Lepisosteus oculatus: one gene and its partner. The main gene of each other region encodes a partner of the protein of the gene in region 2 in a complex. Links are inferred from orthologs where the notes say so. Each region holds a gene or a part of one and is shown on either strand. Other genes may lie near its edges.

What was found. Proteins that work in one complex are often made in the same cells at the same time.
Region 1: the proteins of plod3 (region 2) and procollagen galactosyltransferase 1 are in contact, whole or in part, in a cryo-EM structure (PDB 8ZGE), measured with the Homo sapiens proteins. The link is inferred for Lepisosteus oculatus from reciprocal best matches to the Homo sapiens genes PLOD3 and COLGALT1. Residues at the interface, in NP_001075.1 of Homo sapiens: Leu226, Val229, Val230, Leu231, Lys232, Phe233, Asp234, Arg235, Arg241, Gln261, Tyr264, Leu265, Pro275, Gly430, Ala431, Leu432, Arg440, Glu442, Glu446, Arg452; in NP_078932.2 of Homo sapiens: Ala36, Tyr37, Phe38, Pro39, Glu40, Glu41, Arg42, Trp43.

Annotation. Positions count from the first base shown.
Region 1 is NC_090706.1:18,192,206-18,199,761, forward strand, and holds the start of procollagen galactosyltransferase 1, read right to left. Parts: upstream 3,016-7,556; 5' UTR 2,894-3,015; coding exon 2,676-2,893; intron 1-2,675. UniProt on the Homo sapiens protein: Beta-galactosyltransferase that transfers beta-galactose to hydroxylysine residues of type I collagen. By acting on collagen glycosylation, facilitates the formation of collagen triple helix. Also involved in the biosynthesis of collagen type IV.
Region 2 is NC_090698.1:6,905,612-6,912,443, forward strand, and holds the start of plod3 (multifunctional procollagen lysine hydroxylase and glycosyltransferase LH3), read left to right. Parts: upstream 1-3,816; 5' UTR 3,817-3,988; coding exon 3,989-4,079; intron 4,080-5,464; exon of another isoform or gene 5,465-5,639; intron 5,640-5,713; exon of another isoform or gene 5,714-5,880; intron 5,881-6,042; coding exon 6,043-6,134; intron 6,135-6,405; coding exon 6,406-6,542; intron 6,543-6,832. UniProt on the Homo sapiens protein: Multifunctional enzyme that catalyzes a series of essential post-translational modifications on Lys residues in procollagen. Plays a redundant role in catalyzing the formation of hydroxylysine residues in -Xaa-Lys-Gly- sequences in collagens.

The DNA.
Region 1 (7,556 bases), on a different chromosome or scaffold from region 2:
TTAAATAGGAAAGAGACTCAAGGAGACAGCAGCTGAAGCAAGACGGCAAAGGTACAAGTAGAGAAGAATTCCAGGGGGGAAATTAAACAAAAGATTAAAATGACTTTTCCCAGCCCAAATAAACCTCTAGTTCTTCCTTAGAGCAAGGAAGGCTGGGTGCATTTGATTCTGGGATCTAAAGGACAATTTCTTTGGTTAATCTAATGCCCAGTGAAGGGGGGAAAAATCAGGTTTGTCCATTCATAATATCTGGGCTTGGCGACAGTTCTGCGGCGTGAGATAACTACCACTGGGTCTTTTATTCCACTGTAATTACACGCTGGTTGCTGAAGGCAAAGCACCACAGTTCTGCCAAGCAAAAAGTAAACACGGTCTACATGGCATTCCAACAGTCCAGTCCGAACCACAAACACAGGGACTGAGTGAGGAAACCTTTAGTTTATAAGACCTGAACTTTCACACCTTGTCTCACCTGTGTTCCACCCTATTCACCACATCATCGCAGATACTGCAAAACACTTGAATTGTCGAAAACAGCCAGTTCATTTTAGAAGGAAGTTAGCTACAGCAGGGTTTCACAATGCTGGTTCTGGAGACCCACAGACTGCTACACTGCGTTCCACTAAGCACAAATAACTAACCAAACAAAAACCTAACAATAGGTTCAATTCAAACTCGAATCGTTTTCAGGTCCTAAGCAGGCAGGAGGTTGCCTTTTAACTACTGCGTTGCGCAGATCAAAACAAAACTTTTGAGTAGAAAACTAAACTTGGAAAAGTTCTAATCAAGCAGTTGGATTGTTGGATTCATTAAAGAACTCACCTGCGGTGAATCCAGCAGGTTTGTGGGTCACCGGGACCAGGATTGGATACCCCTGTCCTATATTCCTAAACTTTGATTATTTCGTACATTCATAGACATATAACTATTGTATCTATATTACGGAAAGTGATAAGCAATTAGGTGATAAGCTTATTGCCTTCAATACGAACTAATTAGCATCCTCATCAACATTTCAAACATGCCAAACGACACGAAATCGACCGAGTGTATTTTACACAGTCCGTCTCCTCCGCTTAACACGTTTCAACTACTCACGGATACAAACACGCCAATACTTTATTCTACCGCTGTCACCAAAGTATTAGTCATACCAGGTGCGTTAAACTCGAGCAAAAGTTAAAATTTCACATTTTGGAGCATTTCCAATTTTGGAGCATTTTTTTTAGGGTTTGCGTTAAACTCGAGCAAAAGTTAAAATGTAAACTTCTGGAGCATTTCCAAAGAGGTCCCGCGATTTACACGTAGGCGACGTCGCGGATTCGCCTGAATGGTAATGAAATCCTCCTGCGTCTGAGGCTTTCGAAACGTTTGCCCAGCGCACTGTAACTGAAACGAGGGATTGTTTCCATTATGTAGTTCATATAAACCTGCAATGGGTTTTACTCTGCTTCTGCCGCAAACCAGAAAACCGTTTTAGAAAAATTAAGAGGTGGATCGCCTCCAAGTCACACCGACGGACGCTCGGCTGAGACCTTATTAAAATGAATGGTTAACGCCTGGAGTCATTTATATTGGAGGGCTGCTGCTGGAAACTTTTAAGGTTTTATTTGAATACCGCTCGCCAGGGTGACGTCCTGGTACATCAGCCTTTCTACGTTCCTGTTTTAAGTACAGTAAAAGTGTGCCTCTCATATGATCGTTGTACGTCGACATTCCTCTTTTCAAACAGCCTGCATGTGTCGTTTTTGTCCTCCCCAAAATATTTTACTACTATAAGGAATATCGGTCCTAAGAAGTTCTCTTAAATTCCCTCTCGTTGACACGATCGTATAGACTTATCAACGGAAAAGTCTGCAAATCTGCACTGTTCACCTCATCACGAAAGGACGGAGTGAAAACGGTGCCTTTTTTCCAGGTTCTGAACATGTATCGGCCTGGTTTTTTAATAACTTAAAAAGGAGCTAAAAGCAGCTGCTCCGATGCGCAAGAGCACGGATGCGCTGTTCCCCTCAAGACAGCTTGTGAGATGATTCACACGTAGATACACAGCCCCCGAGGGAAAAGCAAAGCGATCCGCTAAAATCCACTGCACTTAAACTCTATTACCTTCAATTACTAAATCATACATCACATTTCGATGCTCAACTACCACACTTGCTCAAGTTACTACAGATACAGCGAGGAACTGAGAATTATATGGTAAACTACAGTAATCTGTTATTGCATGTGGACTACTAAACTTTTTTTAGTTACTTCACTCACGCGTTAACAGATATGCAGGCACCTAACTTTTTATCTGGACTGTGCTGTTTCACAAAAACCACTTTCTATAACGTAACTCCCAGACACTACAAATGCTGCCCGCGATGCATTAACGAGTTTCTGATAACTGCGAGATAACTTTAGAAAAAGATCTTAGGAAAAGTTCGAGTCACCCAATTTCGTGTTTATTAAAAAGTCATGCATGTGGCATAATTTCCCTCGCTGATACTATAATACTCAGCTAGGACAGTGGATCTCACCAGCCTGCAGTGATGTGTCAACAGCATTCCAACATTTGAGCAAAAGTTTTCATCTTACAACTCCAAGAAACCCGCATCTCCTTGCATTTTCACTCTGCTTTACTACATAAAACAAAACCTTTTTAAAACGCTCTCCGGTTTCGGGCTTACCACAGGGCAATCCGGTCTTTGGGAAAGTTGAGGCGCTCTATAGTCGCCAGGAAGTGCGGCAGGGAGTGAGCCGAGTTGCGGCAGATGAGAGCGAGGAGCACCCTGGGTGCGAGCAGCGGGGACTCGGGGCTCCAGCGCTCTTCGGGGAAATATCCTCGGGCCGGCCCAGGGATGAGAAGCGAGAGCAGGGCAGGCAGCAGAAAGGGGAGCCGGAACATTGCAGACGAGGGTTTTGGGGAGGAAATGCCAGCAGGGAGACGCACAGCAAACGGAGAGTAAGGTTGACGAAAACGTTATCCCCGATTTACTGACCACCGACAAAAATACAACGCCGCAGAGCGTTTTTTTGGCGTTAAGGGGGAAGACGTTATTAAAGGGGAAAAAAACTTCCTTAAAGGGGAAGTTCGGCTATTTTACGTTTTGTGTGTGCAGATAAAAAGAAGTTTCCTTTAAAGGTATTTTATCCACCTCAAGTGGAAACGGTATGTACTAAGACGGAGAAGAGAGAAGAGGTATGGTTTAGTTTGTGGAGTAAAACACTGTCAGTCATTTTTAAGTATTATTTTCCAATACAAATTCATTAACACAGCTCCTCCTTACATACATCAGCCTTGAGCGAAAGACACGACACCATCATTCCATATAGGACCCATAGGAACCAACGAACTCCAGGATAGGTTTTTTGATGCCAGACGTCTGTCTTACTAACTCAAATCTTTAAAGGATTTTGTTGCATAGACAGATCGGAAGTACCGACCGGGAGCCAAATGATATCCAGAGTAAATAAAACGTTCGTTTTAAAGTAGAACCTAAATACCAGAATTAACTTCACAAGGTGCTTCTCCTTTAGTGTTCATGTTACATTATCAAAACATACTCAGGCGCTGAATCTAGGATCAACTTTATTTTTTAATACAAGAAGCGGCATTTCAAAATCTCTTTAATTTTATCCCTCCCTTTAAGAGAATCCAGGTGCAGATCGCGGCGTTAAATTGGAATGTGCCAGAACGTTCTGTGGGCGTGGCGAAGGCAGCTGATTGGACACTTAAGGGCTGAAGAAGGTCTGGGTGGGATGGGCCACTGTAGGCGCAGTCGTATTAGTCCCAGTAGAATAATAAACAGGCACAGCATTGGACTGTTAGTGAGTGTGTATTCGTAGGTATTTATGAACAAATCACAGGGCTTGATTGTTTTTGTTAAAAAAACCTTTCCTATTAAACGTTCTTTTGATTAACTAATCCCTTCTTAGTTTTCCGTTCAACTTAGAATATTAAAAACCTCTCCAAAAGCTGTTAAAATCTTAATTACAAAATTACAGATCTATAAAAGAGGAATTCTGAAAACAGGGACATAGCTTCGGTTTAATTTGTTTACACATAAATCCGAAAACTGAGCTGGACTCTCCCTGAAGTTATTTTAAGAGAATTGCTTGTTTTTACACTGGACGAAAATACTTTGCGAGGTAAGAAAGTTGTCAGCATTCACTGAGCCAATATATACAAGGTACATCCTCAGGCAGGGGTCATGCTAATATTGTATTATTTTTATTGTAGACCTGGAACAAGTTAAATGTGAACACTTTTTGTGGGTGATTTGTTAAAGTTGTAATTCAGAGATGCATGTGGAACACAAATCAGAATACCCATCAGCCCTCAGGGTCCCGAGCTCCCTTTATTGATCAATTTCTCACTTGTTGTCCTCACCTTTAATAACAGGGGATTAAGGGTGACCTGTAAGACTGATGGGTTGGGGCTCCTCAGGACCATAATCTTTGGGGATCTTTGACCTTGATAACCAATAATAAAAGATTCTTACAAAAAATAATGAGGGTCATTCAAAAAATGAAATACTGTAAATAGGAGTTTCTATCGAACCACTGCTCACTCAATACAAAATAAAGCAGATGTTTTCAAAAAATAATTCCTTACACTTAAATGGCACTTTTCTGGACTTTCCACTCAAAGCGCTTTACAGGTAATGGGGACTCCCCTCCACCTCCACCAATATGTAGCCTCACCTGAATGATGTGACAGCAGCCATATTGTGCCAGTACACTCACCACACGTCAGCTATCAGTGGGGAAGAGAACAGAGTAATGAAGACAATGTATAGATGGGGATTATAAGGAGGCCATGATTGGTAAAGGCCAGGAAGACATTTTGGCCAGGACACCAGGGAAACAACCCTATTCTTTTCGAGAAATGCCCTGGGATTTTAATGAGTCGGACAGCGAGTCAGGACCTCGGTTTTACATCTCATCCAAAGGACAGCGCTGGGGCTTTAAGACCCACACAGACTGCCCCTTCTGGTCTCACTTACACCTTTCCCAGCAGCAACAGCAGTTTTCCCAGAAGGTCTCCCATTCAGGTATTGGCATTGACTAAACTCACACCTGCTAAGTTTCAGTGTGTTGCTAGTTGTGAGTTGCGGGGTGATATTTTTAAAATCCTTAAATTAGAAGGACAACGAAGTTCCAATGAAATCATTCCCCCAAGGTGTGCCTGTCAAGATTTATTCTAATGGCAGTTTTCTTAAATTTAAAAATATATAATTTCCAAAGCCAAGTCCGTTTTATGGAGAGTTTCCATTAACAGTTTCTGAGCTGCTGTTTAAATCATTTCACTAGGTCAGAGAAAGCTTGCTGCTCCAGTTCCGAGTAAGGACTGGTTTTCGTTCTCATTAGTTGACTCCTTATGTAGGTGAAGAGGAGAGATATGGCTTTAGCCTAATTGTTTTGCAACCCATGTGATTGTAGATTAACAAAGCTTGAGAAGGGTGTGTAAGGGAATGTTTTTCCTGGGTGAAAGTTAGAAAAATTGCACATTATGGTCAAAAATAAAACAGTCAAAAATATTCATCCATCTATCCATTTTCTAACCTCTTCATAAAATTCAGGGTTATGGGGGACCCGGCCAGCAATGAGCACAAGGCAGGATACACCTTGGATGGGGCGCCAGTCCATCGCAGACAGTAGTACATTTGCTAATACTAATTTAAAAATTAATGTTGGTCCACTCCAAAGTGTAATCAATTTATAAATGCACCATTGTATTTAAAAAAAAAAAACTAGGATCCTGAACATTTTATACCAATGCAGTTGAATATCACAGCTCCTGGAAATACTTCAGTGAGTGGATTTTTATGACTTGAAAGTGAAGACAGGGTTCTACTAGACTTCTGTTTATAAAAACTACAGGCTGAGATGACACTTTTGTGTGTCAGCTGCTGTTTCATTACTGTAAAGTTACCTGTAAATGGCTCAGTGAGAATTTTTCACAAATGCAATATTGGCACATTCCAGTAAGCATGTAAACTGTTTTACTGTCAGCTCCTCGACCAAACTGAACAGTAGATCATTCTTCTATCGATGGAGCACATTGGACACTACATGGTGAGAAACAGTACCTGAGAATGCAGAATAAGGAGTTGCTCTCATTCCACTTCACATATGGTCTATATATACTGTATACACACAGCTGGGAAATGTCTGCATTGTAAAGACTACATCCCGCCACCCACATCAGACGATAAGCAGCTGTTCAGATGGCCTAGAATTTACAGTCAGAAATAAAAAAAAATTCTGCAAAGAGGAGCAAAAAAAGAGAAACAAAACTGCAATCCAAATACAAATCTGGAACTGCTGTAACATAATGCCGGCATACTATTTAATTTGCCAGAGAGTGATTCGGATTTTGTCTTCCCACATTCCGTGGTTTTGGACTGCTGCTGTTCTCTGTGATGTAATTATGTCCAGAGCAGTGAATGAAAACATTGGTTAGGAATGAAGCAGAATTCTGTAGAAATTCCAGAGAAACTCGAGCCAGGCTCTGGCAAATACAGTATCATATTAATAGTAAAAAGTTAAGACACATTTGGCATGACTGTCTGAAAAATCAGTTTCTTCTTCAAATTTTCATAGTGTTTTCACTAGATGCCATGTACTAGTTCTGAAACTTCTGGAAGGAAGAGATTGGTGATTTCTAAACCCCTATACCTTTAACAGCTGTTGTTGATATCATCATAAAGATGGTGTGCACTGCCCCACTTTGGCATAATGCTGTATTGCAACTCGCTTGCAGATTGATTATTATGATGGCGTTTTGGTGCTATAAAATGACTGCGAGCCCACCAGCTGTATCTCCAGCATGTTCTGCCATTTTAAAATAACTTACATCTCTTAGGAAGGTATAGGTAGAAATAACGTATTTATTTCAGTCTCTAGTTAGAGATACAGTATGGTTCTATAACCCAAAGTAGAACAGAAGATTAACAATGGAAGTGAACAGCCTGGAGCTTAACTTGACAGTTTGAACAACATCTGCATTTCAGCATTAAACACTGGTTTGACATTTGACTGACTTCACACTCTCAAAGAGACCCGTTATACTGTCAACCGCTAAGCAAAATATTTCAAAAAGTTCAAAAACAGAAAAACAATAAATACATTAAAAATACATTAAAACTGGGACTAAAAGCTTTTTAAGGTACAACAATGTAAAATTCTTTTACAGACATCTTTCTGTTGAAAAGGTGGATCTTTCATTCATAACTCTTGGCTAATGCAACATTTTCAAAACTGTTTTTTTACCTACTGTACATTAGTCATACCTCCCTAAAAGCATGTCTATTTGTATGACTTGTTGATTTCTTGTATAAACCCTTCATTTCATTTTAACTAAATATGGCAAGAGTTTCATTACCATCCCACAACTAATTTAAACAAATAACCCTTCAGCCTGAACAGCAGTGATCTCCCGAAACTTTTGTACATTTCAATTCGAAATGTTTTAGGACATGCAGTTTATTACACTAGGAAATAATAATTTAAATCAGCTCTCAAAAAACAAAGAAACAATTGAAACAAACAACCCAAACTATAAA
Region 2 (6,832 bases):
TCATGCTCGCTTTCATGACAAAAATTCACTAAAGGCAATCCTGCTTAATCTATACAACTATATCACCGTTCACAGCTGGCAGCCCACTGGAGCTCAGCAGGTGTGGGCCTGGTCAGTACCTGGATGGGAGACCTTCTGGGAAAGCTGAGGTTGCTGCTGGGAGAGGTGTTAGTGGGGACAGTTGGGGGCGCTCACCCTGTAGTCTGTGTGGGTCCTAATGCCCCAGTCTAGTGATGGGAACACTATACTGTAAATAGGTGTTGTCCTTCGGATGAGTAATAAAACCAAGGTCCTCACTCTCTGTGGTCATTAAAAATCCCAGGGCGTTTCTTGAAAAGAGAAGAGGTGTAACCCCGGTGTCCTGGCCAAATTTCCCCCTGGCCTTTTCCAATGATGGCCTCCTAATAATCCCCATCTCTGAACTGGCTTCATCACTCTGCTCTCCTCCCCACTGAGAGCTGGTGTGTGGTGAGCGTTCTGGCGCACTATGGCAACTGTTGCATCATTCAGGTGGGGCTGCACACTGGTGGTGGAGGGGATCCCCATTACCTGTAAAGTGCTCCGAGTGGAGTGTCCAGAAGAGCGCTGTATAAGTGTCAGGAATTATTATTATTATTATTATTATTATTATTATTAATCAATAGGGCGGGACTGGGTAGCACATACTGTAATTCCCAGCCTTGTGATATACAGTACATGTACAGCTCAGAGAAGCCCCTCCATGTTTGTTTGGGGGGGTTCCTGATTTTTGGGCGAGCGCACAAAAAATTGAATCACAATCCCATGTGCACTAGGAATAGCAACACCCCAGAACTAAATGTGGTGACAAATTTACAGAGTGTTTTACTCTCAGTGGGTTTGGCTTAAGGGCTGAGGGCCAACGTCCTGGCCGCAGGACGAGGAGGCTGGGACCCCCATGTGTACTGAGGGGTGACCAAGGGGCAGCTGCAGAGCTGGAGGAGGGGTGCAAAGGACGTGTGCAAGGGAGAGAAGGGGCTGACCCATAGTGCTTATTGTTTTAAGGTGAGGAAATGACATCAGGAATGATGACAAATTACTGACTGACGAGGCTGATTGAACTTGGCTGTTGTCATCTGACATGACTGGTCATGGGGCGGAGCGGTTGGACTGTGGCTCAGGATCTGTGCCTGTGGCTGGAAGGTTGCCGGTTCAAATCCTGCGGCCGGCAGAGGAATCCTACTCTGCTGGGCCCCTGGGCGAGGCCCTTCACCCCAACTGCTCCAGGGGCCCCGTATAAATGGCTGACCCAGCTCTCTGACGCCCAGCTCTCTCTCTGACGCCCAGAGAGAGACAGCTCTCTCCCTGTCTGTGTGTCTCATGGAGAGCAAGCTGGGGTCTGTGAAAAGACAAATTCCTAATGCAAGAAATTGTATAGGGCCGATAAAGTGATCTGATCTTACATACTTTGGCTCCAGACTCCATGAAGTGGCTTTGCCCAGGCAGGACTGGAGCTGACAAACCCGGGGTCAGTGGGTCTTTATTCCCACCCCTCCTCTAGGTGCTGTGCTCCCTGTGTGAGCTCTGCTCTCCTAACGGTGGGGCTGAAGGAGTTAACCATAAATCATCCCGGCTTCCCACCCACCTCCCAGCTGGGAGGAAGTTGGGATTCCTGGGAACAGCCACAATTACTGACCTTTCACATGTGAGTGTTCTCTGCATTTCATCCACGTAATCGTTCTCCAGCCCTCCGCTGGCAGAAGCAACAGAGAAAGACGAACGACGTTCCTACTCATTTTTTACGGCCGGTGTGCGCAAACATTTCAAGCTGTGCAAATTTTTTCACCAGTGACAAAACCTTGTGCGCACTAAACTGAGCTTATGTAAAACTGTAAACCTGAAATTATTTTTTGTTAATATAGTCATCCAAATATAAGCATAGAGATCCAAAAGATTGGGACGGCGATTCCACGAGCCCGGTCATAGAGACCGGGTGTCGAGCGAGCATGAGCAGTGGGTTCGAGACTACGAGAGCAGAGATACCGATTATCGAGTAGTAATAATAATAATAACGCACACAGCCAAGTTGAGCCTCTCGCAGCCAGTCTCATGTGGTCAATTTCGCATTTTTCAATTGACGACCGTGTTTGTTTTATTATTATCATTTTTGTTTGGGGGGGGGGGGGTTAATTTTTTGTGCGCAGTTCAATTTCCTATGTGCGCTGATTTCATAACCTGTGTACGCGCGCACACGCTCGCGGTTTAGTGGGGAACATCCACACGAAGTGCAGTGAAAACTGATAAAAACAAACAAACAGGAGGCTTTTCTGTACTCATACGTTTGAGGAACAAGTGGATCAGACACGGTCCGAACCGAAACCCTGTCTTCTCTCATGAGATGGCAGAAGGAGCAGATCCTTGGATCAATCAACAAGCTCCTGTAGACTGGCCACCCCTTCCTCTCATCTGCAGTGTTTCTTATGCTCCTAGGAGCAACAGACCATCACAAGAGAAGGACCCTCCCTGGGGACAGGGGTCCTTATCGCTGTGCCGGAGGCCCGCACGTCTGGTTTGAGTTCCCGGCCGGCTCTGAGTCGCCCGGCTGAACCCTTCACTGGCCCAGTTACAGGATGCATCTGAACCGTCCGACTGTCTTCGGCGCTTCATCCGCCTTGAAACTTGCCTTTTATCGTCTATGGTGTTTCGCAGGTCAAAATACGAAACCCCGGGGTTTCTAGGACAACAACAACAACAACAACAACAACAACAACAACAACAACAACTAACAACCTGCAATCAAGCAAGTTGTCGCTTCAATCAAGGCTCCAGTTAGGTCATTTAAAGGTCAGCAGAGCGGGCGCGCGAGCCGCCTGGGCCAGCCTGGAGCACCGCACGAAAATAAACTTCATCTTCTTAATAATCACGATATTCAAAAGCGATAAAACAGGCTTGGAGAAGCGGGGCTTTTTCTGTTGAATTGATCCGTCATTTCGGTTCCGGATCCCATCTGGTATTCTAACGTGCCTTTAATGTAACGTGATATTTAGTGTTGTTATTGCTATACTTCTTATTGTTCGCATTATTACTTTATTATTAATTACATTTTACATTAGCTACTGATACGAGAGCAATGCCATCGTATACAGGACAGTGTAAGCAAAAGCAGGTATAACAGATCGCAGTAGAAGCGCGTGCCGTTGTGCCAGTACAAAAAAGAACTGGACAACGGAAAAATACTATATCCGTGACGTGGGCCGTGATATACACACGAACTAGAGGACAACGTGGACACCCGGTAACAGTGATGGGTCCCGTCTTTCCAAATCAACAAGTCAGTTACATGGTGTCTCCACACTGAGAGGCAGGCTTTTCAATCCAGGGGCTAATTCAGGAATACTGGGCAGCGTGGAAATACGGGTCATTAAAAACCGGGGCAGATGATGAAGATAATGAGCACTATCACTGCGGACGCTTAACGGGAACTGCGGCGTTTCCCATTGAAAGTGAATTACAAGTCCGAAGAAGTCGTTCTGCATATCCCGTCAATAGACCTGGGACCCGGACCCCCCTCCCCACCAAATCTAGCCCCCCAGTTCCAGTTCCAATTCCTGAGACGTGGCAACACTCATCTTCCGACTCCCTTCCTCGCACGGGGGAGGTAACTCGGACACCCTCCTCCGCTATTCAAGAACTTTCCATTCAGGCAGCCGAAACATATTTTATAAAAGGAAAGTTTGTCCTACCCCCCCTTGTCGCCCCGCCCCCCCTCCTCCGGTCCTCTCTTACGACTGGGTGGCGGGCACATCAATCACCGGCCGGGCGCAGCTCATTGGCTGGCTCGTCCGAGGGGGCCGGAGCGGGTCTCGTGTGTCGGGATTTAGGTGCATTTTTTAGGCTCGGGCCAGTTTTCGCGAGACTTTGCGGGCGTCGGGTTAAAGGGAGAGTGAGTGGGGGACGTGTGCTGGAGCCAGAGAGAACAGGGTTAGGGAAGACGAGACAAAATTAGGGAAGGCAAGGGACTGACAGCGCAATGGAGCTGACTTCTGCTTTCCTCATCTGTGCGATCTGCCTCGGGATCTCGGACCATGTCGCGTCGGCGGACACGCAGGCGATCCCTCCAGGTAGCAGCGTGATCTCGGAATGAACAGTTTAGCGCACCGTCACAAGAGTACGCTATAAATTGCACCCGCATACTGGCATCTCAGTCCGCTCCGCTAATGCCGTGTAAACTTTAAAACACAAGGCCACTACAGCTGTGTTATTTCACGCCTTGTATGACTGCACTGTCTGCGTTTTACAGTAAGCTAGCTAGAAAAGGTGATTCTCTGGTAAAGAGATGACTCTTTTTGTGAAATGTACGTATTGCTAAGGCTGTTAACTTCGGTTGTATTTCACCATGGTACGCTTTTCGCCCAGAGTTCTCAATATCTGAGAAAATAAGGTCGGATCTCGGGCTGTCTGGATTCTTGGTCCCGAGAAGCTCAGTGCCATTAACAAACGGCTAATTCCTCCAATAAGACTGATTGATTAATTGATTGATCCGACCGCACAGCGCTATCTTCTTCCTATCCAATCACTGGAAAGTAATTGGTCTCTGAAAAGAAAAACAAACCGCTTTATACAAGCAGTGAACTGTTTGGGGAAACTGGGCGGAGGGGAGCACTAAAACCTATGATCCCAAGTTCCTACGCAGCAGTGAAGACGGACATCGAATCGATCGGCTGTTTTCCCAGACGGGTTGGAGAAATTTTGAAAACGTCTTAACGGCGGATTCGACACATCAACGCAGGGGCGCAGGCAAATGTCGTGAGCGGTTTCATTAACAGGTCGGCTCGCCGGAGGGAGTGAAAAGCACTGCGGTGTCAGCCTAAGGGTGCAGTACAAAGCGGCGATTGATTCACTGGTGCGACCCCACGGCTCCCCCACCCACCCGCGGGCTCGCAGCGCGGGGACACAGTCACGTATGAGAGAGATGACACTTTTTTAAGAATTTTTTTTTAAATCCTTTGACCGAGACCAAGCAGACAACGCACACAGCCGCAGTGGTTTAGAACCAAAAATCAGAATCGGGATTTCTAAGATCTCTCCCTTACAAAGGCGCTCTCCCCAGCCCCCAGCTGGGTTCATCTCCGGGTTTTCCCATGAGAACTGAGCGATATGGACCGTGGTTCCCGCTTTCTGACCGTTACTGTGGGGAGGAAAAATTTAAAAAGCAGAAATAAGGGCTCTCTCCCTGGGGCTGCTGGCCTCTTTCATCTGTAAATGAAAAAGAATTTGACCCATTGTGAGGACCGATAAAGTGCTTTTTACCAAAATAATACCCACTGAAAGGTAGATGGAGTTGGAGACAGTGTAGCAAGTTTTATACTCCAATATACAGCCTTAACCTGGCTGACACCCCACATTCTTAAAGTTTTTTCCTATCGGAATAAAGTTGATTTCACCCAGAACTTCTCACGATAAGTACACATTCTAACAAAATATTCAACTTTCGTCACTCTGAAACCTTCTCAACCGGGGGCCTGTCCTTGCTCGATCGGTGCGATGGTGGGGCCTGGATTTGCACAATGAAAATGAGTCCGAGCCTGACCGCCGGGTTTTGTCCGTGCCGTTTCCTTGGCCCGGTTCTGGAGCCGCGGAGCCGGAGCTCGGGGGATATTTGTGGTGAATCTTCGTGCAAACTGTGGGGAACAGCACGTGAGGATGTCAGAATTGCGTACGCTGACCGGTTTGGGTAAATCCGTGTGGCTCCTACCTGAGATCTCGGCACCTGGACTCTGGTACAGTGGCGAGTTTGGGTTGGTCTTGCTCAGTCTTGCCTGCCATCCCCCCATGCCCACGGGGGTGGGGCTGGGAGTGTTGACTCGCAGGGAGGGGGACGTCCTTCCAGAGAGCTGGAGAAGGAGATTGAGTATTCAGTCAGCCTGTGGTGTTCTGGTTCAATCACCTCATTGTACATGTGCCTTTTGGATGCCGTGTATTATGTGATTTGTATACTATAACAGTATGTACATTAGAATGCAGTGTATAAGTGCATCGTACTACATGCTTAACATCGGCTGCACTGTGATCTGTGTCCTCTAGAGAACCTGCTGGTGATCACAGCGGCCACCCAGGAGACGGACGGGTTCAAGCGCTTCATGCGGACGAGCAGGCAGTTTAACTACACCGTCAAGGTGAGGCCCTGCGCTGCCCAGCCCGTCCCTTGAAGACGGGGGTAGAGGGGTGGAGGGCAGTTTGTTCCCCAGGCTGGGTCAAGGGGCGATGGACTGAACGGGTGTCGGCGCCCTAAGCCGACGCAGACGGGAGGGAAAGCCAGTGTTGCGTTCAGACGGGGTGGTCTGCCTCTCTAGGGATGGGGTCTGGGACTGTGATCGGTTCTAGCTCGTGTCTCGCCGTCCTGCTCTTGGTGGTTAACCTTCCCCCTCTGCTCTGTCTCACCCGTAGGTGCTGGGGCTGGGGGAGGAGTGGCGGGGGGGAGACGTGTTGCGGACGGTCGGGGGGGGACAGAAGGTACGCTGGCTGAAGAAGGAGATCCAGAAATACGCCGACAGACCGGAGCTGGTCGTCATGTTTGTGGACAGGTCAGGCCATGCCGAATGTGTCTCTCTCCGTCTCTCTTTCTCCTGGAATGTCCAGTTTCTTCCCCTCCCTGTCCACATGCTCGTTCTCCTCTTTCTCTGTTCCCGTCTGCGGCTCTGGTAACCGAACCTGACACCGGTCCTACCTGCCCAGACAACAGCTGCCCCACTTCGGGTGAAAAGGCGTTTTGTCAGTGTAATGAGGCGCCGAGGTGTGGCCGAGAGCTCACGAGCAGGTCCCAGGCAGCGCTGAGGTGGGAAACGCCACGTCAAAGACAAAGGGGAAAAGAAAG